4 linked regions of the Mus musculus genome follow. The main gene of each other region encodes a partner of the protein of the gene in region 2 in a complex. Links are inferred from orthologs where the notes say so. Each region holds a gene or a part of one and is shown on either strand. Other genes may lie near its edges.

Evidence for each region.
Region 1: Ints7 (region 2) and Ints9 share a complex: the UniProt entries of both Homo sapiens proteins name them as parts of the integrator complex. The link is inferred for Mus musculus from reciprocal best matches to the Homo sapiens genes INTS7 and INTS9.
Region 3: the proteins of Ints7 (region 2) and Ints1 are in contact, whole or in part, in a cryo-EM structure (PDB 8RC4), measured with the Homo sapiens proteins. The link is inferred for Mus musculus from reciprocal best matches to the Homo sapiens genes INTS7 and INTS1. Residues at the interface, in NP_056249.1 of Homo sapiens: His150, Asp151, Leu187, Ala188, Thr189, Pro190, Val191, Lys194, Thr223, Ser224, Tyr225, Pro226, Ser227, Thr228, Asn262, Asp263, Pro264, Arg265, Lys266, Pro303, Tyr304, Gln349, Glu350, Cys352, Tyr353, His354, Asn355, Arg357, Ala360, Gln384; in NP_001073922.2 of Homo sapiens: Leu1378, Gln1381, Gln1382, Gly1385, Gln1386, Ala1389, His1429, Phe1430, Leu1431, Cys1433, Pro1434, Arg1437, Gln1438, Cys1440, Gln1441, Pro1476, Ala1479, Gln1480, Met1483, Leu1484, Gln1487, Arg1552, Pro1554, His1555, Leu1556, Glu1557, Glu1558, Pro1613, Ser1614, Gly1616.
Region 4: Ints7 (region 2) and Ints12 share a complex: the UniProt entries of both Homo sapiens proteins name them as parts of the integrator complex. The link is inferred for Mus musculus from reciprocal best matches to the Homo sapiens genes INTS7 and INTS12.

The regions. Positions count from the first base shown.
Region 1 is NC_000080.6:65,018,446-65,024,075, reverse strand, and holds part of Ints9 (integrator complex subunit 9), read right to left. Parts: intron 3,761-5,630; coding exon 3,580-3,760; intron 1-3,579. UniProt on the Homo sapiens protein: Component of the integrator complex, a multiprotein complex that terminates RNA polymerase II (Pol II) transcription in the promoter-proximal region of genes.
Region 2 is NC_000067.6:191,573,319-191,579,511, reverse strand, and holds the start of Ints7 (integrator complex subunit 7), read right to left. Parts: upstream 3,877-6,193; 5' UTR 3,655-3,876; coding exon 3,561-3,654; intron 1-3,560. Other genes in the region: Dtl (denticleless protein homolog), read left to right, coding at 4,112-4,163. UniProt on the Homo sapiens protein: Component of the integrator complex, a multiprotein complex that terminates RNA polymerase II (Pol II) transcription in the promoter-proximal region of genes.
Region 3 is NC_000071.6:139,768,150-139,773,779, forward strand, and holds part of Ints1 (integrator complex subunit 1), read right to left. Parts: intron 4,646-5,630; coding exon 4,449-4,645; intron 4,345-4,448; coding exon 4,207-4,344; intron 4,028-4,206; coding exon 3,868-4,027; intron 3,773-3,867; coding exon 3,667-3,772; intron 3,581-3,666; coding exon 3,388-3,580; intron 3,287-3,387; coding exon 3,141-3,286; intron 3,043-3,140; coding exon 2,901-3,042; intron 2,091-2,900; coding exon 1,914-2,090; intron 1,259-1,913; coding exon 1,150-1,258; intron 836-1,149; coding exon 715-835; intron 348-714; coding exon 270-347; intron 1-269. UniProt on the Homo sapiens protein: Component of the integrator complex, a multiprotein complex that terminates RNA polymerase II (Pol II) transcription in the promoter-proximal region of genes.
Region 4 is NC_000069.6:133,103,280-133,108,909, reverse strand, and holds part of Ints12 (integrator complex subunit 12), read right to left. Parts: intron 1,972-5,630; coding exon 1,825-1,971; intron 76-1,824; coding exon 1-75. UniProt on the Homo sapiens protein: Component of the integrator complex, a multiprotein complex that terminates RNA polymerase II (Pol II) transcription in the promoter-proximal region of genes.

The sequences.
Region 1 (5,630 bases), on a different chromosome or scaffold from region 2:
TAGAGCTAGCACTTGTTCAATTAAGCAACCGAATTCCTGTTAGGCAGCAAGTGCTTTGCAGGCCGCTGTACAAAGGGGGCTAGCAAAGCAAAGCAGGGAGTCTAAAGCCAGTGGGGACTCTGACCCTGACTGGGCTCCAGGTCACACTGGAATGGCCTTAATGACGCTTTCACACTTTCAGTCCCTTGCTGCTTTCAGACAGTGTCCAGCTGCCTAGAGGACTCCCGGTGTAGCTGAGGAGAATGGCAGTTGGCTAGGAGGAGGGCAGCGACTAACAGCGGGAGAGCTTAGAAAAGGAGGAAGACTTTTACTCTAGTTCTCTCCTTGGTAAACCATGATCGCTAAGTCTCTCTGAGGGAAGATCATACGTCCCCATCTTTCTCCTCTTTACACCCTTCCTTCTCCCTCTTCCCTAATGTTCCCCATGCCCTCTTGAGGAGCTGCCGCTGACACTGCTCCTCTCCTAGGCAGCCACACTCATTCTGTGGGTGCCAAGGACATTCCAAGCTGTGGTGCCTGCCTGGCTGCCCGGTCTCTGCATGGACACTGCAGCATGGGCTCACACACCACTTTCTTCTGCTTCTTTCTTCCTTCTTCCTTCCTTCCTTCCTTCCTTCCTTCCTTCCTTCCTTCCTTCCTTCCTTCCTTTCTTTCTTTCTTTCTTTCTTTCTTTCTTTCTTTCTTTCTTTCTTCCTCCTTCCTTCTTCTTTCTCCCTCCTCTCCTCCTCCTCCTTTTTTTTTTTTTTTTTTTTTTTCCAAGACAGGGTTTCTCTGTATATCCCTGGCTGTCCTGGAACTCATTCTGTAGACCAGGCTGGCCTAAAAATCAGAAATCCACCTGCCTCTGCCTCCCAAGTGCTGGGATTAAATGAGTGCGCCACCACTGCCCGGCTAACACCACTTCTTTGAAGCAGGGTTTCATGTTGCTGAGGCTGGCTTCAACTCACTATGTAGCTGAGGCTAGCTCTGAACTCTGGATTTTCCTTCCCTCAGGGTTCTAACTGCTGAGATTGCAAGCATACACTGCTACCCCTGCTCTCTTATTACTTCTTAGTTCTTGTTCTCTTTTCTGAAGATTTGCTTATTTTCATTTTATGTGTATGTGTGCTCAGCTTGCATGTCTGTCTGTGTAGCACATGTGCAGTGCACAGCCTGCAGAGGCTGAAGAGGGCCTACCATCCCTTGGGACTGGAGTTACAGACAACTGTGACCTGCCATGCAGGTCCTGGGAACTGAATCTGGGTCCTCTGGAGCAGTACTCAGAGCTCCTCCACTCCCTTTTTTAGTTTTGATAAATGTGTTTGCCCTGAGCGATGCTAACATTGGGGTAAAGTAGGTGAAAGGTGTCCGGGAACTCTATTGTCATTATGGTTTTCCGTAAATCTAAAATTATTCTAAGGTACAAAGTTTATTACTTAAACTGAAAGAAATCCAAGATAAAATTAAAAAAAAAGTATCAAACTGGGAAAAATGGCTAAAGTATGTTAACAAAAAGTTAATATCTTTAATATATACACAGAGTTCAAATATGTAATAGAGATATAAAACCTTTAAGAGGTAAATGGGCAAAAAAGGAATAATTTACATAAAAATATTTTGGCAAGTAGTATTAGATAATGAACATTAAAAATATTCCTACCCTTTATTCCAGTAATTCCACTTTTAGTAACTTACCTAAGGCAAATGCTATCATCATATATAGACAGAATAGTTTCAATTTAAGATTTATTCTTAAAAGGAAAAGCCCTGCCAGCCAATGAGAAGGTAATAAGCTAAGTATATAGATGTGAGTGATGTGAGGAGACAATACTGCAGCCACGTGCGCTGGCCGTGTGCTCATTGTATGCTGTGTGCTCCCTGTATGTTCACTGTGTGTTCACTGTGTGCTTACTGTATGCTCACTGTGTGCTCACTGTATGCTGTATGCTCACTGTATGCTCACTGTATGTTTACTGTGTGCTCACTGTGAGCTCAATGTGTGCTCACTGTGTGCTCAATGTGTGTTCACTGTATGCTCACTGTGTGCTCACTGTATGCTCACTGTGTGCTCACTGTGTGCTGTGTGCTCACTGTATGCTCACTGTGTGTTCACTGTGTGCTCACTGTATGTTTACTGTGTGCTCACTGTGAGCTCAATGTGTGCTCACTGTGTGCTCACTGTATGCTCACTGTGTGCTCACTGTATGCTCACTGTGTGTTCACTGTGTGCTCACTGTGAGCTTACTGTGTGCTCAGTACGTGCTGACTGTGTGCTCATTTTTTTCTTTCAAAGAAAGAAGAGACAAGGTATGGGCTGTAGCAGTCTGGCCTTGAACCTGTTCTCCTCCTGCCTCAGCTTCCCAAGTGCTGGGAAAACAAACATTTGCTGCTCTTCACAAGGTTTCATAATGGTTTAGTGTTATTGAATGTTTTCTGCTACATAAGCACTGCACTACTGAGCTGCAACCCCTTTAGGAAAACAAAATCAGAATTTAAAATTAAGAAGTGAAACTTGACAAGGTGATATCTAAAAAAATGTTAACTACTCAACATGATTTCTAGGTCAGATGGGGTTTATTTGGACAGTGGTGTTGTGGGCTCCAGGTCTCTATTATTTTCTATAACTTGTTTTTCTACATAACATGGCTTGCCCACTTATGAACTAACACACACCTGCAAAACAAACTCACAGAAAGACCCTGCAGGACTCCAATCCCTGTGCTGGGTGACGACCATTCTTGTAGGCACAGGCCTGATATGGTGGGGCACTGTCTACTCAGCCCACAGGGCGTGACCCAGGAGTGTGCTGCAGTATTTTTATTGGGGGTCTGAATGAAAACAAGTTTCTAACATGTTAACTTCATCTGCAAATGCTGCTTGGGGTCTCCTATGTGGGGAAGACACTTGTGTGTAAGGATAAAAACGAGTGAGAAGTAAAGACAAGGAGCAGTCCTATTGACCAAAGGGAGCAGAGTCAACTCAGGGAGACGCCCACAATTCAATGGGAAGGAAAAACCCACACACCAAAACCAGGAGAGGGGTGAGGGGCATAACACTGGGATATGTTATAACATGGTAATGTAAAAATTCCATTTTCAGGGAGGAACTTAGTAACTGCTGTGTGTCCATTTGGTCACCATACTACTAAAACTGATTGGACATATTCTATTCTGTGTCACATGGCTCTTAAGAATTTAGAAATTACATCTACCTCCACTTCCCTCTTTTGACCAGGGGAGTTAGACTCAAACTCTTCGAACATGGTCAAAGCTTAGTAACCTATGTCTAAGTGTCTGCTCTAGGAGTTGGTCAGCTTCTTGGTATAATAAAATGGATCTTTGATAAACTGGCTATGGAAATAAAGATCTAGCTTTTCTTATCAGATGTAGGTAATTACAACAGTATGAGCTTGGGGCTTTCTTATCCTTTCTTCGTACCTATGCTTCTAAATGCTAGCAATGTATGGGATTTGACTTTCAGTAGTTCACACACATGCACATGCATGAAGTCTTAAGTACTCTTAAGAAATCACAGTTATTTTCATTTTTACTGACTGAACATACTTAAGCAGAACTCAGAGAAAGGATACTACTGACTTACCACTCAGCAAAAATCTGGGAAAACTCGAGTGAACTGTTGGCAACGGGGGAGATGAAGTAGAAAGGGATGTTGGAGAGGCCAGCGGAGTCAATGTATTGATATAAGCACTCCAGGAGGTCATAGATCACGCCTGAAGGATAGCAAGGGACCAACACGTTTCCTCCATTCCGAACTGTCAGAGCTGGAAAAGTTGAGGAGAGAGAAGATGGTACCAAAAGAACAATGTTAGAAAGGACAAATACAACCTTTAAAATGACAATTACATTATTTCTCTTCTCCTGTGTATGATATGATTTATTTTTGAGACAGGGTCTTGCTATGTAGCTTTTGTAAGGTCAAGCTCAACCTGAGCTATGGGATGACTTCTGGCAGTTACATAAAGTTAGTATTTCTCAGAAACTTGTGAAACCACTCCCCATCAACCAAAAGGAGGCATTTCCCTGGCTCTGGCAGAAGGATTAAACAGCTACCCCTGGCTCCAGGTTGCTTCAGTATCCTAAGTATCCACTACACATTTCAAAATCCATGGGTGGTGCACTGCAGTGCTTCTCACTTCCTCCCCCTACTCTAAACATCCTCCAGTCAGACTTCCGTTTTGTGCCACCAGATTCATGTGTTTGAGTGCTTGGCCCATAAGAAGTGGTACTATTTAGGAGGCATGGCCTTGTTGGAAGAAGTTTGCTACTGTGGGGGTGAGCTTTTAAGGTCTTATATGCTCAGGCTTTGCCCAGTATGGAACAGTCTTTCCTTGCTGCCTGCAGATCAAAATGTAGAATTCTCAACTCTGTCTCTAGCACCATGTCTGCCTGCATGATGCCATGCTTCCCACCATGATAATGATAATGGACTGACTGAACCTCTGAAACTGTAAGCCAGTCCTAACTACTCAATCTCTTTATAACCCTACTATTCTGTGTTCTCTACCTCAACACTTCCACACACAAAACCTTTCTAACCTCAGCCTGTTCTTATGACCCCCACACTTTATAACTGTCTAATCTTTTGTAGAGAAGTGTACATTGGGCAATGCAAGATTGAAGGCTGATGTTCTCATCACTGTCTAACTGAATCCCCTGGTAGGTTTTAATGTCTCCAGTGAACCTGAGCTTTAGGCAACTCCTTCTCTCTAAATCCTATTTCAAATTTTCAGGATGTTTCTACTCAGTCTCTGACTGTGGCTGAGTGATTCAGAAGAAACAATCTGTTCCCTTTTAAGTCCTTTTCATCACACTTTCTGGCACTAGTATTTGTCTGTAAGAAACGATCTATTATCTGAAACACAGCCAGTTATGGAATGTGGAAATAATCACATTATGGGCTGTAATGTGTTAAAAGCATGAATGGCTGAAAAACTGTAAAGTCAAGTTGGCTTTTGCTTCATTTACAGAACAACGGAGGTAGGTAGTTGGGGAGGACCTGCAGTCTGTTGTCAACAGCCTTTCCTACTCCTGTGACAGACAGGTCGTCTTTAGAAGGCAGCAAGGAATGAAGGAGACACTTCTGAGAGCCTGGCTCCAGTCTGCTTCTGCTCAGAGATGCAAGGAAGGGTCACAAGTTTGCCACTCCAGCCTGGCTGGGCCTCAGTTTCCCCCTTATTATGTGGGGATGAGTAAGGCCAGGGCTTTTCAAGCTTTACTCTGTATAAAAATTGCCAAGGGAGCATGCTGACCATGCAGCTTTTCACCGAGTGCATTTTTATTGGATGATCTCGGATCTTGAGGAGAGTGACACAGTGACACAGTGCATGAGATGTTGGGTTTTCTCCAAATCTAAAGTTTCAGGAGTTAGTGATTCTAGATTATTAACAAATACACAAAACTCAGATTCTATCTGAGACCAGTCCAACAACTTTTCTACAGTAAGAATAAATTACCTCTGTCTTTAGAGCAGCAAACATACTTAGTAGCCAGGCTCAAGGGATTTCAAAGGACAGTGCCTTCCATGCAAAATGAAGCCGGACACATCTTCCTGGAGCCAGAGTAATACCACTTAAAGTTGCTGGGAGGTGAAGGTCAGCCCTCAGCTCGGCTTGGGTAGCTAGCTCAGACTTA
Region 2 (6,193 bases):
TCTCGAAAGACAAGCTAGGGAACTTTTTGCCTCCACCTTCATGAGAAGGGGCTCCTAAGGGCTACTCCTCAGGTAGACATTCGAGACACTAAGTAACCACAGATGCAACCAATATCCACTAAAGCACCACTAACAAAGCATTACCAGGAAAGGGTGTCTTAGACAATGGCTGCATATTTTCTTTACCTCAGATGAACATGGCTCAAAATTGAATCTCTAACATGTATACATCTCATATATTCATTTTTTAATGGTGCTTGGTTGTAACAGGACTAAAAAAAATTTCCAAGTATCACCACACAGGGTTAGAATACAGCTCAATTGCAAAGCAACAGAACACCGGGAATGAGACCCTTTGTTCAAGCCTCAGCACCACAAAGAAATAGAGTAAGTATAACTACACAATAGAAGGTGTACTGGCTAGTTTTGTGTCAACTTGACACAGCTGGAGTTATCACAGAGAAAGGAGCTTCAGGGGAAGTGCCTCCATGAGATCCAACTGTAAGGCATTTTCTCAATTAGTGATCAAGGGGGAAAGGCCCCTTGTGGGTGGGACCATCTCTGGGCTGGTAGTCTTGGTTCTATAAGAGAGCAGGCTGAGCAAGCCAGGGGAAGCAAGCCAGTAAAGAACATCCCTCCATGGCCTCTGCATGAGCTCCTGCTTCCTGACCTGCTTGAGTTCCAGTCTTGACTTCCTTGGTGATGAACAGCAGTATGGAAGTGTAAGCTAAATAAACCCTTTCCTCCCCAATTTGCTTCTTGGTCATGATGTTTGTGCAGGAATAGAAACCCTGACTAAGACAGAAGGCAACCCACAACCCACAGCTTAATAAACAGTTAATAAAGGTCACTTCACATTTGGAAGGCAGAAATGGCAATTTCTGACATAATTACTAAGTATCCTCCCACAAAACTTCAGAAATCACTGCTAATAAACATGCTGACATATAATGCAGACTGCACATGAGAAAATACTAGTTTAAAACAATAAGAAATGAGACTATTTAATAATTCCCATTGTAAATCATAAGACAACAGCTCACAGTCATACATAAAAGTAAGGCCATGGTTTCAATAAGTGGATTTCTGTTTAGTTTATCTGACCTTGTCCATCAGGGTCACCAACCAAACTGCAGAGTCCATGCTCCCTAATTCAGCTTCAATGTGGTAAACTAGTTGCTGAATCTAGATTCTATATAACCTTAAAGGTTCACTTACCAATGCTGTCAGACTAAATGTAGTCTGGTAATAAATATCCTCAGGAAAAAAAAGTCTGAATCCATAGGGCCATGTTTCTACTACTCTTAAAACCACCAGTAATGACATGGCGTCAGCCGCCTAGTGCACACCCAACCCAGTGGCTAAGGCCATTCATTCTCTCAGAGGGGCTGTGCTGAGTCCTCACTCCCTAACACCAGTTACATTCCTGCACACATGGGCAGTACAACAGTGGTCTTCACAGGGAGAATTAAGATGGTGGAACTGGGTGGATGGTAACAACGCTAGGAAATCCTAGTGTGTGGATTCTGTCCTGACTCTCACCCAGTTCTCAAGAGTTGAATCAGCACTCCACGATCAGGCTTTTCCTACAGCATTAGGTTCACCAGCTTCCACTCATGTGCAGCAAGAAAGGGAATGAGTCACCTTCCCCACTCCCACCCATCCTCTCAAAGCCAGGTGTGCACAGAGCCATCAGGTTGAGTGATGTCACTAAACCTTTCTCTCTGCAGGAAGGGGATCTTGCCTGTTTTCATCTGGACAACTTCCAATCACTGGAGGGGCAAATACTTGGTCTGATGATAATAATCTACATTAGGAAAAGCTACACTTATTAGAGTAATATGTGGGACTCAGCCTTTAGCAATGTGTCACACTACTGTTCCCGGCTGATACAATGTGTCTTGTTGAGCTTAGGGCTTATCTGTAAAACACTCAACAGCCCCCACTTATTTCTTACACATATGTGTTTTAATTTCAACTCTTCTTATTAAAAAGGTTGTACTATTACTTTCATTACAACTGTAACCTTTTCTTTCAAAGAGCTTCACTTTTAATTATGTGTATGTAGGGGGAGGGAGAGATGGGTGTATAACAGACCCTCTAGAGTTACAGGCAGTTGTGAGGTTTGGGGTGTGAGTGCTGAGAACTGAACTCTGGTCCCACAAAACAGCAGTGTGGCCTCTTAAAGGCTAAGTCATCCCTACAGCCGCAGCATCTTTTTTTTTTTTTTAATGTAAACCTTATTTCATTGTTATTGTATGTATGTGTGCACATGTGTGTGACTGTCAGGCTTGCACAGGAAGTGTTTCACACAGTAAACCATCACACTGGCTCACAACACTTAGAAGGTAACTCTGGATGTCCTTCCTTTCCTTGCTCCATATCCTTACCCTGCTCTACAACACTATCTACTCTTAGCCTGGGACAAGATTAGCTACGCTAGAGCCATACACATTTCGGTGGGAAGGGAGTTGGCACTGAATAAAACAGTGTAATGGGCCACATCAGGTCTAGGACTTGGGAGGCTGAGGATCAAAAGTTGAGAGTTATCCTTGGCTTTAGGGAGTACAGGCCAACCTGGATGTCACAGACTTTAGTAAAACGTAAAAAACTCTTACCTGTAACTGGTTTCAAACTTGGACAAGGAACTAAGGTGCATATTTAACATGCCAAAGTCTAATTGACCTCCAGGTTCTCTCAGCATCCCCCAGTCCCTACTTGGCACACCCTGCCCCCCAGACTTGAACTTACAGATCCTTGGTTTCCAGTCCCGTTCTCTACAGGTTACACACTGGCTACAGTTAACCAAGAATTGCCTATAGTGTAAAAACCTTGGCAGGAAACTGAAGCAAAGGTCTCACATTTACACAGGACTTCTTTATGGATAGCTATCTGTCAAAGTCCCTCTTCAGCCTTTAATAAAGGCATCTTTTCGCATACCACTGCCATTTAACATTTACAACAGCTGACATACTGTGCCCACTTTGCTGACATATCGAGGCTAGATGATAATGCCGCATTCCATAATCACTTTAGTAGAACTGGAATTTAACTCCTAACCCTAAAATTTTTTCTCTTAGCTACCTGTATAAGGGGAACTAACTCGTGGAACTTGTGTGCAGAGAATGAGCGCGTTCAGCCAAGCTTTTCGGATGTTCTCATCCACATGGAACCTGCTTTAGAACGCGCAATTGACAGTCTCGCAAGACAAATCGCTGTAAAACGCTCAGAAAATCATTTGGCTCTCTTAATGAAGGCTTCACCTGCACTGAACGTTTTAAAAAATAATCTCAAAATTCAGCACTTTATCTTATTTGCTGCCTGGGAAACCAGAGACTGTGCCCCCAAGTGGTCAAAGGCATCCTCGCAAGCACGAGCCTCTGCTCCAACTGTGCAAGGCTACTCCAGCAACCCTGCATGCGCCTAAGCGCTGGCTCCAAGACTAGCAGCCGTGCTTCCCGCCCCATACATCGGCGCATGCGCCTTTCTAGCCTCTGTAGCTGCCGCCACTAGGTGGCGCCACTCCCCCCAGACGCTTCGCCCGCGTCCCTCCTCCGTACCTTTGTCCAGTTCCATAAGAGCGGAATTAGCGTCCAGCTCCTGTTCGCCATAGCCGGCATCGGCCAGGAACGACTTGGTTGAGTTTGACGCCATGACCCGGACAGTTACCCGACTCGCCCAGTCACAAAGATTGCAAACTCTACCCCAGCACCGCCATCTTCTCCCGCCGCGGTCTCGCGGATTTTTCCCTCCGCGCGCTGTCAGGCAGTGTACGCATGCGCCTCGGTCGCCCCGCGGTTCGCCAGTTCCTCTCTGGGCCCCCCCGCGCAGGCGCTCAGGGAGCCTGTGAACCTTGGGTTCCCGCGGCTGAGCGAGAGGGAGGCGGAGCTTAGGATGGGGGCGAGCCTTCGAGGCGCCAGGACGCTGCGACGAGAGCCAATCAGAAAGCGTGACGTCAGTTTGGCGCGGAGTTTGGCGGCCGGGGCTCTTAGTGGCGGGAGTTGGAGGCGAAACCGCGCCGCGTTGTGGAGGGTGCAGACGGCGGCTCCTGTGGAACTTGGGGGCGATCTTCTCGGCGTTCCCCTCAGCTGAGCCTTCTCCTCAGGCCCAGATGCTCTTCAACTCGGTACTCCGCCAGCCGCAGCTCGGCGTCCTGAGGAACGGTGAGTAACGGCCCCAACGGCCGCTGGCCGTGGCGGGAACCACCTCCCCCCAGGCGCTCCACCTTGGATCGCTGCCGACTGTGGGCCTCCAGGTCTCCCGCGGCCGGAGCGAATCCGGGCGAGCGAGGACCGCCGAAGAACATCGTGCTTGGGTTCCTTCCGGACGCTTTTCACCGTAATCGAGCTTTTTAGTTCGGAACGGAGGCCGAAGTTAGGACGCTCAGTGGCGTCCCGGGCCCCTGGCTGCTTACGTCAATATCGCGCGTTAACTAGAGAGTGCACGCTTGTGAGAGTCGGGGGTGGGAGACGCTTTGGCACCAGCGATGTGCCTGCCGTCTCTGCAGAACCTTAGCGATCCCTGCAAGTTCGTTGTGCACCAGCGCGCATGGCCCGCAGTTAAGGAACTCAATCTTAAGGCGCCAAAGTCCCCTCCCCCATCTCTGCAGGCTCTGAAAAGTCCTAAAATACAGACTAAAAGATGCCCATAGCCACACCCACGAGGTGACCACGGGTAATGGATGGAAGGGTATTGTTCCAAATGTGTCTTGATGCCGAGGTACTTCCAGAAATGGGATTAAACTCGTTTTTCTCTTCACGGTGGAATTCAGCCATGTTCTCCTGTTAGCATATAGAAAGCCAGCTCATCTCCTACAGTACTCTTAAAAACATTGGCAATCTGAGATGCGATTAGGCTGATGTGTTGTTAAACTAAGACCTTGAAGAGTGGTCCTAAGAATGTTGAGAAGAGGAAAAGCTCCTTGAGGTCCTGCCCGGATCTAAAACTTTGTAGTCGTATTCCCTCTGTGGATACTCTTGTAGTTACATTCTGCCTCTTTCTCTGCTCGAACTTTACAAAAGTTACTTCGCCCTGTGTTAGGAATGGCCGCCCTGCACAATGGTTGTGAGCGGTCTTCGGAGCGTCTGAGTTTCAACTCCACCTCTTTTCCTATGTGCTACATTTTCTGTCTACCCACTTTTCAGTCTGTCGTTCCGGCTTACAGATAGCCAGACAGACGTTCAGTGATAGGCACTGGCATTCATTGATTGTTACCTCCTGAAGTCTGCATCTCTTTTCCCCTCCGGTGTTGCTGGGCCTTAAATGATTATAGCCGTAAGTAAGGATTCTACTGCTGCTACACTCTTCCATTCCCTATGTTTTGGGTTAATTTCTGTAAAAGCTGTATGTATTGAACTTAATCTAGACAGTTAGGCATACAAGCATCTTATATTCTAATGCCCCAAACTGAGTTGGCTTCTTCCCAATTTTTGGGAGTGACATTATTTTAAACTGGTGTCCCCAGCTAAAACTTAGACTCCATATTCCTCATTATGACATTTTCAAAAGAAAAAAAAGAAATCCCTTAAGTCTGCTTGAATCTCTTTTTCCATCCCCACAGATTCAGCCTCTTTACCTCAAACTGAGTCTTCCATTTTCTCTATTCCATCCCCACCATTGGGCCTGATACTTTACTCCCTGATCATAACAAGCCTCTAAATGTGCCTTTAGTTTCCTTTCTCTACCGATATTTGTAAGATGGAAATATAATTACTTTTGTGAGTTTTTAAATCCATATCTAAGAATTTTTACTATAAACTTTAAACATGCAAAATTATAATTTTTAGCCTTATAGTGAGTTAGCATCTTAAGATAAATACTATTTTAGCCTTTTAAATACATCTGACACTATAAACAACTATACCAACGTGGAAGTCGTGGTCTCTGTTTTTGAAAAGGTGAGCAAATGCTTACTGTTCGATGTTTTATATGGTTGCTTTTTCTTCTGAATATTTCTATCTTAATTCTCCGCAAATTTATCCTATTGTAATTTAAAAGTTCTTGTCACCCTGTCATGCCCCATCAAAAAGCATATAAAGTGCTGTTTTCTGTGGTTTTAGTACCCAGTAGTCACAAAGGTTTCCCTTAGGATGAATTATCACCACAGTTAATTAATAGTGGGCAGTTGTTAGAAACTAAGTAACTTCTTAAAATGTTTTAAGAAAAAAGCAAAATTTTTATTGAAAGTGCATCT
Region 3 (5,630 bases), on a different chromosome or scaffold from region 2:
CTAGACTGACAGCAGGACTGGAGAGGCCATGTCTCAGAACACACAGGTAACCAGTGGGTTGGAAGGGACAGGGTCAGTCCAGGAAGGACAGAGTGGGAGCGGAGAGGAGTTCCCTGGGGGTGTGTCCAGGGAAGGGGCAGGAGTGTGAGGCAGACACCACTGCAGGAGAAGAACAGTACTGGGTTTTCAGGGTGGGGCTACCCGCCCAGCATCTGCTATGCATGTGCCCACAGGCTGCACTCTGGCTGCCTGCCCACCCCAACCCTCACTTGCGGTCGCTCTCGGGTGGCCAGTTGTCCCACTTGTAGTAGGTCTCGGGCTGCTCGGTGAAGAGCACCTTGTGGAGGCTGCAGGGACAGAGCAGGTGTCAGTCAGGATGCAGCTGTGCAAGGAGTCTTCACCCTAGCAGCGCTGCACAGGGACCATTTGGGCAAAAGCTACTGATGGAAAAGTACTGGGGCTTCCCCCCCCCCCCCGACTCCTGAGCCACCTGCCCACAGTGGCCACTAGTGACCAAGAGAGGGGTCGGTTGGGCCTCTGTGAGGAGAGGTGGCTCACGTGTGGCTCTCAGGCTCAGGACCCTTCCTTCTGTCATCAACCGGTGTTGGGGCTCTAAAGGCATGCGGACAATGATTGCCTTGGAGGTGATGGCTCCCACCTGAAGTGTACCCACACAGGTGACACAGCGAGGCTGAGAGACGGTCTGCCTCTTACCAATGCACATAATCCTTGGGGGCGAGTTTGCTGACGGAGGGGACGACAGTGTGAAGCCACCACACCGCATCCCGCTGGATAGCCGCAATCTGGTTCTGGAACGTCCGGAGCACCTCGAGGTCTAGGGAGTGAACAGGCTCCTGATGCCCCGCAGCCGTGGACTCCAGCAGGCTGAGCCACTCTGGAGACCACCCCTGCTCCCACCCAACAACCAACAGGATGCCTGAGTGAGTGAACACGCTCCAAGCACAGATGACCCTCTCAACCAGACGGCAGGAGGGGACCGCTGCTTCTAGAAAACCCACCTCCTCCGGCAGCCATGCCGGGACCCCCACTCACACCCCCACCCTGCCCTCGGTTTCCAGGGACGTGCAATTACTCGAGGCCTGGTTTTACGTCCACGGCTGACAGTGCCCCCAGCCAGCAGGGCCTTACTTCTCTTCTCTCCTTTGTCCCAGGCGACTCCAGCCTCCTTCACCTGGGCTGTAATGCCCAGCATCATGGACACAGCTAGCACATCCGTGATGTGAACCACAAACCGCTCCTGTGGGCATATGGGTGGCAAGGCTGGCGTGACTGAGGGCCCTTCCCAAAGGTCCCATGTGGCATAGGGACGCGTGCATGTGTATGCACAACAGACACACAAACTACTTAAGAGTTTGCCCCCACATCTAGAGACCACCATGCTGGGAGAAGAGCTGACAGAAGCAGGCCTCTGGGTCCAGGATGAGCCAGGTCCTGATTAGGCTACTGGGAGGGGACTCAGCCAACAGAGAAAATCCTGTCCCCAATGGCAGGCTGTCACAACAGAGGACTGCCATCCTGCTCCAGTGCCTTAGAGGTCCTCAGCCTTCCTGCCTCATTCTGCTCAGCGAAACTCCCTCCCATCTCTTGCTCTGCACCCCGAGTCAATCAGACCCTTTACTGGGGTGCTCTGTCCATCTCCCCAAGTTAATCCTCAGTCCTGCCAGCTGCAGTGTCCACACCCATGCTGGGGTCACCAGCTCCCTAGCTTGGTCAGCCCCGCCCCGTCCTTACGAGGGATGGAGCAACACTGAGTGGCTTCACACTTGGGTGTGTGGACCACCGAGCCCATGGCTGCACACAAGCCTGGCACGTTGGCCATCCCTATGACAAGGCAAGCCTCTCAGTGTCAGGAAACGGCAGCGTGGGAGGTGGTGAGCAGGGTCGCAAGGCACCTTAAATTCCATCTCCAGGTACTGCGGCTCCTTGCGCTCCTGCATGAGCCCCAGGCAGAAGGCTTGGAAGTTGATCTCGTGCTTGGTCTGCTTGATGATCTCCCGCAGCAGGGCCCTAGAGGCGCGGAGGTAGTCATCCTTGTTGGTCAGCAGGTCCTGGAACACCATGGCTAGGAACTGAGGAGGAGGGAAGCCACAGGGAGCTGGGGTCAATGGCCATCCAGGTGCATGCTTATGCCATACCCCACCCCCCCAACACCTTGCCAGGACCTCACTCGGGACCTGCAGAAAGCCTTCCCCAGGAGAAGAGTCCTCCCAAATACTAAGCAGCTAACGCGGTAGGATTGGGCAAGGTCCCGCAGCACATCTTGGGAGCACATCCCGAGAGGAGGGGGCCGTCTCCCCTTCATGGATGTGAACTCTTAGGACGGAGGCCGTGTTGTATCTCACCTCCCTGACAGTTGGCGGGAGGGGAGCCAGTCCTCTTCTGACCAGGGTAAAGGTTAACTGGCAAGCTCAGGAATGGAGATGCCGGCAATGACACTGCCAGATACCTCGGCCCACTCTACCCCACCCACCTGGGCTACCTCCTGGGTCTGCAACTACCCAGCTCTCTTAAAACACGGAGCTGAGAGGGCAACCGCTGGGTGTGGCCAGAAGCTAACGCAGAGCCTAATGTAACAGCCCGGCTCCTTGTTAAGGACAGGAGTGTTTCTTGGGTATGGAGAGATGCCAGACCTGGTATCCACAAGCCAGGACCCCAGGCCAGGGCTGGAGGGCTGTGGAGATGCCAGCTTGGCTTAGAAAAACCCCAACTAAGGAGGCTACACCATGCTGGAGCTGGGGAAGTCGGACATGCTGCACAGTGTTAGCTCACAAGGATGGTTCAGAAACCAGAAGCCAATGGACCTTCCCGCCCAGAGCCACGAGTTTCTCCCTGTGAGGCTCACGCAAGCCCAGGGGCCTGTCCCTCACTGAGTACCCCACCTTGGGTGCCAGCTCAGAGCTGTGCTGCAGCACTGTGTACAGGATCTGCATGTTGTTGGGGTTTCGAGCATTCGAGAGCTCATTGAAGATCACAAACTTGATAGTGGTACCCAGGTTGTCCTTGTGCGCGTTCAGCAGTTCCCTGGACACCAAGAGGCAAGCCGGTGAGGGGGACGGGACAGGCTGCCCCGGCTGCCCACCGGCCTGCCTCACTGCCTGACGCCCCGGCTGACCGCGTACCTGATGCAGAGCATATAGTGGTTGAGGAGCACCTTGGGCTTGAGGCGGATCTTGATCAGGTGAGAGATGACATCCATGTCTTCTGACCCATGGGAGTTGCAGTTCATGCACACAGACATCAACAGGTCCTGCGCTGGCCTGGTCAACTGCGGGGAAGCCAGGAAGACCACTGAGCACGCAAGCACAACCGCCCGGAACCCCCAAGGAGAACCCCCCCAACACAAACTCTTTCACCAACACAGCGTACCTTGGGGTTCTGCAGCCACATCTCCAGCCGCTGCACAGCCAGCAACCGTACCTCCTTGTAGCCACAGGTGGCCGTGAGCAGCCGCAGGAGGTTCCTGGACACGTTGTCGATGGGCTGGCGCCGGTTCAGCTGGTCACGCAGCATGTCCAGGACATATTCTTCCACGCTCTCTGTGAGTTCATCGTACCTAGGCCAGAGGGGGGGAAGGAGGCCAGGAAGGATGCCAGCTCCCGTGCCCTCCCTCTGGCCCTCTGAGACTGAAGCTGTCGGCCCACCTACCTTGGCATGAGCTGCCCCTCCTGCTCAGGACTCAGTTTCTCCTCGGCAATCAGCAGCTCCGTCTGACTGTCCTCCTCCTCTGTGAGTGAGGGGTGGGGGCTGCTGCCTGCAGGGACCACGGGAGCTAATGGGTGCCTCCTCCCAGGGAAGTGGAGGATGGTGCCCTTGGCCCAACCTCACAGACACCTCGGCATCTCTTACCTGCACCAAGCTCACCACCACTGCGTGCCCCCTCCCCCTGCAGCAGGACGCTCTTTGGGGGCATCTTGGTGTTGAAGGCTGTCTGGATGTTGTCCACGAAGGTGCGGCAGTGAGGGCTGTCTACCCAGATCCGCTCGCCCAGCGAGTCTTCAATGTATACCTACGGTGAATCAGGTTTGGACCCTGCCTGAGGCTGGATGGGTCCCCAGAGTGGGCATGCAAGAGGCCTTCATCAAAGCCCTTAAAGGAAGGACAGCTCACTGGGAGCCTCCATTCGCGTCCCTCTCCAGCACCCACCTTCCCTCTGCGCTCTGCTCTGAGACCCTGGAGAGGACTCACCTTCACGAAGATCTCAGGCCAGTTCTCGTCCTCCTCGTACGCGGCCATGAGAAGGTTGCAGGCCAGTACAGACACGAGGCTGTTCCCTTTGGCCTTGAAGTTGACAGAGGCGTCCCTCCGCAAGAGGCTGCACAGGGCCTGAAAGGAAAGGAAAGTTACAGTTGTCACGATACGGCCCATGCCACAGAGACAGCGGCAGGTCTAGGGAGGGCGGAGTGAACAGGGGAGGTGGTCAGTTTCACCTCGATGACACCCTCTGTGGCAAAGATGTTGGGCTTGATCTTGGCCAGGTACATGAGGCTCAGGTAGAGCGTGCTGTCAGGCTTGGCCCGCGTCACCTTCAGCTGCTTCACTGCCCCGCACAGCACTCCCTCGATCCTGTCGTCATTGCCCTCCAGCTCAGCGGCTTCAATCTCGTCCAGCAGCACTGTGGGCAGAACTGACCACACAGGGGGTGGGGTGGGGGGAGGCTGGGTTAGAGAGGGATGAGAGCAGAGGCCACGCTCAGAGCAGACAACTAGAGGCAACACAGATGGGCCTCACCAGCACACGGAGGCTCTGAGCTCCCAGAAACCATACACCAGAGTCTGTGTCGTTTTCCTCAACAAATGGCTTCAGAAATGCTGGCAAGTGCTCAAGGAGGGAATCTAGACAGCCGGTCAACCACTGAGCCACGCCCCCAGCCCCTCACTGGGGGATTCTAGGCAGGGGCTCTACCACTGAGCCACACCCCCAGCCCCTCACTGGGGAAGTCTAGGCAGGAGCTCTACCACTGAGCCACGCCCCCAGCCCCTCACTGGGGGAGTCTAGGGAGGGGCTCTACCACTGAGCCACGCCCCCAGCCCCTCACTGAGGGATTCTAGGCAGGAGCTCTACCACTGAGCCACGCCCCCAGCCCCTCACTGGGGGAGTCTAGGCAGGGGCTCTACCACTGAGCCACACCCCAGCCCCTCACTGGGGGATTCTAGGCAGGGGCTCTACCACTGAATTATATCCATATCCCTCAATTTACTTTTTTACTGTCATACAGGGTCAAGTTAAGAAGTGGCCAAGGCTCACCTTGAACTTTTCATCTGCCTGCCTCAGTCTCCTAAGCAGCTGAGGTAACAGGCACCCTCTGAGCCTTTCAAATGACATCTCAGTACCAAGGGACAACGTAGCTTCATGAGATACAGCTTCATTAAAGGCTAGAGGACAGGATGCTTGTCCTTTTTGGCTCTCAGGAAGGAGTCCCTTAGAAAGGCTCGGAGCAGACACGCAGACAGTGGCGTCTGCTACTGGAATGTTAGGTGCTCAGAGGCTGGCACATAGCTAGCGGGTGACAGGTCTATGCTAAGGCATCATGGAGCTGCTATGAGTCACTGAGGGGCTCTGGGCTGTAGAGTTCAGTGGTTACAACACTTGCCTTGTGTGCATCTGGACCT
Region 4 (5,630 bases), on a different chromosome or scaffold from region 2:
CCATCCAGTTAGGCCACTAGTTACTGAAGAGGACACGTTGTTACTAGAAGAATTTCCTGAAATAACCGTGGATGGCTAAAAAAAAATAAAAAATATAAGTCTTACATTAGAGCCAAATATAATCAACACCTGTATGTCTTTGAATATAAATGCTTACTTGTATATAAAGAAGTAATGCATGGACAATATGGACAACAAAACAAAATTAGGTTCTTATGAAGCTGAATTGGGAAACACATGGGCGTTTCTGTAGTCAGGGAGACTGCTACACAACTTGCAGTTCCTGAATGCCACACTGTTTTAATGACTCCAGAGAAAATACATGAAATTCTTTTTGGGAACTGCCCTAAGATTCAGTCACAAACGACAGAAGAGAATCAGATTTAGTTCTTCAAGTCACTTTTCTTACCACCCAAAGTTTCACCTAGCTCATGACACTTTTAAATCCAATCTACTTTAATTTAAAAAAAAACAACCAAACCAAAAAAAACTGTTTACACACAAGACACTCAGGAGAAAATACCTAAGACAAAGATTCAATCATTGATAGATGTGTTAAAGGAAATGTCTATATAGAAGTTCTACACTCACTTAAAATAATCAAGTTGCCACAAAAATTTCAACATCTATTCTACTATAAAATATCCTCAGATGTGTAAACTGAGGATACATTAAAAAGAACTCATAAAAGCAGTTTTGCAGTGTGTTTCCATTGAAACTATAGTAATAGACCCCAACTTTCACATAGTAGACTTTGCATCTGCCTCTTGGGTGGCACAGGCATTTTGGGGAGGTTTGACACACTCCTGGCTCACGTGTCAACTCTAACATTTCGGCTTCTCTGATCAACTTCCTACACAGACAGACAAGAGGCCCTAAGCATTGCTGATTGCTGTTGTAAGCATATAGGGTGACTTCTGTCCACTCACAGTCTGTCTACCTTCTTCACACTGAGACAAGCTCACAAAAGCATTCAAAGGGGAAGTCAGATATAGGACTGTCTGTATTTAAAGAGAAAAATACATAAAGTATAAAAATAGTGATGTAGTATCTAGAATATCTATTTGTATTTTAGAATTGAGCTCTTATGAAATAGTAGGCAAGACTTCTTTAGCTCTTACAAAGTTGCCTTCAACATAGCCTGTATATGACTACTTTTAAGCACCAGAAAAAGCAATCAAAATAAGAGTGCTTTGGGGTTTTTATTGATACGAAAAGTTGAAACTTTTGTTCACATGTCCTGAAAAGCCACATTTTTATAATAGCATTATATAATTATCTCATGATATCCTGATTAGGAAAAACATCTTACAAAACATAAATTCCTGGGACACACACTGCTGGTGACAGAAAATGAAAGCAAAGAACACAGTGTGGCAAACTTAATTTTCAGTTTGAAAAATCCATTTTTCTCCTTTCCCTTCTATAAGACATGAAACTATCTGCTCCACCAAAGAGAACTTATTTAAAGTGACTAAGAGACCAGTGGTCAATGAAGGATGGACAGGAAAGCAAGGTGGCTGTGCTGAGCACCTGACTCTAATGACCGCTGTGGCCTGGGCTGCTCCACAGTGACAGATGGTGTAGAGCACAACCAGGATGCACAGACATGAAGCACTACAACCTTGGGAACCTAGCACCACCTCACACTTCAGTGTAGAAAGTAAATTCTGATATAAATGCTCCCCTCCTATCTAATTAATTATTAGTGTTCTTCACTTCCAACATCAGACACATAATAAAGTTTCTCATCAAAGTTTTATGAGAGCCTACCCTTCAGTCAGCCACACTGAGGTTTAACGCGGATGAAAACAAACACTTTACCTTAACTTCGGTTCTCTTGAATGCTAGGAAGGTTGTCTCTTGTTTAAGTTTGGTTTCTGGCTTCTTGACTAATGGATCCTTGACAGTTGGAGTCACAGAAACAACAGTGGGCGCTGGTTTCTGTGGTGGCTTCTGAGTTTTCTGAGCCTATGAAAAACAGGTGGATAATTATACATAAAAATTTTTATTAAATAACAAAATTAAAAATGCATTAAAAACTATAAACATTGAACGTTAACAATAGTTCTAAAAATATTGTGATGATATTGAAATATCAAAAGAAATCAACATATAGTTTTACAGATTTCATTAGTTTCTGAAGAGTAATGATACCATCAATCATGCAAATTAGGGTTTGTTAAATATTATTTTAACAAGATAACCCTCCTGTTTTCAATAAAGGAAAATCCCAAACTATGGTACAGCTACTCTTTGTTACCCATGCAGGATGGGTTTCGGAACCCCTGACAAAAACCAAAATCTGTGGATGTTCAATTAAGTCCCTCAGATAATCAGCCTAGTATCTGGGCCTAGTGCCATCTGTCTCTAAGTACTCAGGAGGCGGAAGCAAGAAGACTAGGAGCATAGGGGCAGCCTGGGCTCTAAAAGGAGTACGAAGGCCTGCCTGATTTCTACATTAAGGCCTTGTCTTAAAGACTTATGGGAGGTAGAAGAACCTGAATCTCTGTCAATTCCAGGTCAGCCTGGTCTACCTAGTGAGTTCCAAAACAGCTAGGGATACAAATACAGACAAAAAACAAGTAAAACAAGTAAACAAACAAAAGAAACAAAACCCACTAAGGCCGGGGCTCACTGAGTAAAGAAGCTTCCATACAACCCTGGAGTCCCGAGTGTAATCCCTGAAACCCATGTAAAGGTGGAGGGATAGAACCAGCTCCAACAAACTCATTCTCTCTGGCTCTGTCTCGGTCCCAGTCTCTTTCTCTCTCTGTTTGTGTGTGACTCTCACAGCCTCCACCCTCAAACAAAGTACTCTGAAAGCTTGGGGGATACAGCTCAGCTGTAAAGCATACTTAGCATGTAAGGCCCTGGAGTTCCAGCTACAGCACTAGGGGGAAAATACTACATTTATAGAAGACCTCTGTAGACAGTAACTCATCTCTAGGTTTCTAAATCTAAATGCCATGCATTGAAATATTGAATATTGAAATAATAGCAGGGAAACCAGCCTGTCCTTGCTTTGTACTGATGCTTTAATGCCCTTATTCTACCAACAAATATTTTCAATGCAGAGTAGGTGGAATACATAGATGCTGAGTTCACAGAAAGTGGGAGACAATCATGGAATTAGCATCACTCCTTAAATAGTGCACGTCATTTCTTTTTATGGTTAGCCAAAGACTGAAGTAGTTTCTTCTTGAGGTTCAGTTGTAAGTTTTTAAGTTACTGAAGATGAGTTAAAAACAACTCTGGTAATTTACATGGTTTTAAACACTGAATTCAAAGGGAAGAATTATTCATGAATAATAACACATTTTGGAGGTTTTTTCATACAGGTGAATCAAATCCTTTGAAAAGTTTATAAATATAATTTCCATGTTATTCAGTAAGAATTTTATTTATTCCTCCTAAGCATTTTTATTTTGACCAATAACTGACTTTATTTTATGACAAAATGAATACTACCCAAGTCTCCCTATAAACGTGGATCCTCTTTCAGATTCTGAGTGTTTACTGCAGGACAGCCCTAGCTATGTAGCAGTACAGAGAAAGACTGAAACAGTGTTTAGTATCAAAGAGACCCAGGGCTGACCCCTGCTCATTCCTCCCCAGCTGTTACCTCAGGTGCAACACACATGCCTCCCTCCCTTCACCTGTGTGTTTATGAGGACGGATTGTAGTTATGTAAGAGCTTAAGCTAGGAGCTCATAATGTTAGGTGCTGACGATATAATTACTGTTACCTAGCATATGCAAGGACCTGGCTTTGACCGCCTGTACCTCAATAATATAAAAGTGAAACATAATTGCTGTGCTGGTTATTGTCAATTTGACACAACCTGCAGTCACTTGGGAACAGGGAACCTCAACTGAGAATTCCCAGATCAGAACAGCCTGTGCTAATGTCTATGAGAGCCTGTCTTGATTAATGATTGATATGGGAGGGCCCAGTCCAGGGTGGGCAGCACCATCCCTAAGCAAGAGGGCCTGATCTACATTGGAAAATCAGAACTGGAAAGGAAGCCGTGTGTGTGTGTGTGTGTGTGTGTGTGTGTGTGTGTGTCTGTGTGTGTGTGTGTGTGTGTGTGTGTCTGTGTGTGTGTGTGTTACAACTTTGCTTTGGAAGTAACTGAAGGCCACTGGGAAACATAAACAGATCAAGTGAAGTCACTCATCTAGATGAATAAATCTACACAATATAGTGGCAAAACAGCTGGAAGGGAAATGAAGAGACCTCTTACGGGCTACTGCAGAGCTAAGTCATAAGAGGCTTGCAGAACAGAGTGGTAAGACTGACGTGAGCAGAGGGAGGCATATAGGACGTGGACACAGTTAAGTTTAGCAAACAAAGCTATGAAGAACTATGAAAGATTTCAAGCATAACATCTAGCTCAGGCAACTGAGGGGAGGTCTAAAGAAAATCACTTTAACTTAAGGATATGACATTTAAAGGATCAGTATGGAGTCAGTTATAGAAGGCCACATATAAAGAGATTAAAATCATGTACATAGGTTGATGTAAGCTAACTTAAAAAATAAGAGAAGAAAACCTTGAGGAAATTTAGCTTTTAACTTTGGTTAATAAAAAGTGATGGAGAAATAATAATTTAAATATTTTGGAAACTTAGGTCTTTCACAAGTTATTTCTTTTAAAAATTATTCATTTTTTGTGGTTGTCCTGCTCTGGAATGTATCATACTGCTGTTGTGTGGCACACGCTTTTGAACTGCAACATTCCCTCCAAATTTGCAGGAAGAAGGGGAGACTCATGAGCCTCAGGAGGTAAACAAGTGGTCACGTGCTGGGGAGAACAGGAACTCTAGAGCCCACCCCTGCAGTATGAAAACAAGTTAACAGTTGCTAGGGATGACTGAGCACTCAAACTGCACAGACATGTTTGGACTGACTGTGCAACAGCCTTCAAGCTGTGTGGCAAGCTCCAGGAGACATCACCGTGTTGCTGTGCTATTTCTGGGGATGGAGCTGCTTGCATCAGCCCTCACCGTGACCTCACCAATGTTCCTCTTAGTAACCCCAATAAAAACCCTCATTTGGTCACCAATTGGACATTGGTACAATGACTACTTTGGTTTGCTGTGGACTCCATTTCTAGAGTGAATAGTCCTTGTGAGTTCAAGCATGTGTGTGCTGGTTATGTGCATGTATGTGTGCTCCATGGACTGAGGAAAAGTGTGTCATAACAACTGCTCATCTGAAATAATTTTGGTTGTAGTTTTGAAGAGCTAATTTCAATAGGAAACTAAAAAAAAAAAAAAAAATGTATAAGGAGGTAAGAATGGATCAACTCGCATTCTTCTACATGCAAACCACCAGTTGAGGCAGCACCATTTGGTCCCGTGAAGGCTCTATGCTCCAGTACAGGGGAATGTCAGGGCCAGGAAGTGGGAGTTTCCGGACGGGAAACCAGGAAAGGGGATAACATTTGAAATGTAAATAAAGAAAATATCTAATTTTTAAAAAGTGATTATAAAAAAACTAAAAAATTAAATATAGAGATTTCTTGTTACAAAGAAAAAGAATATATACTAATAAACTTTTACTATTTTTGACAGAATAAAACATTTCCTACTTCTGCTTTATCTAAGTAAACATAAAATGGACCTC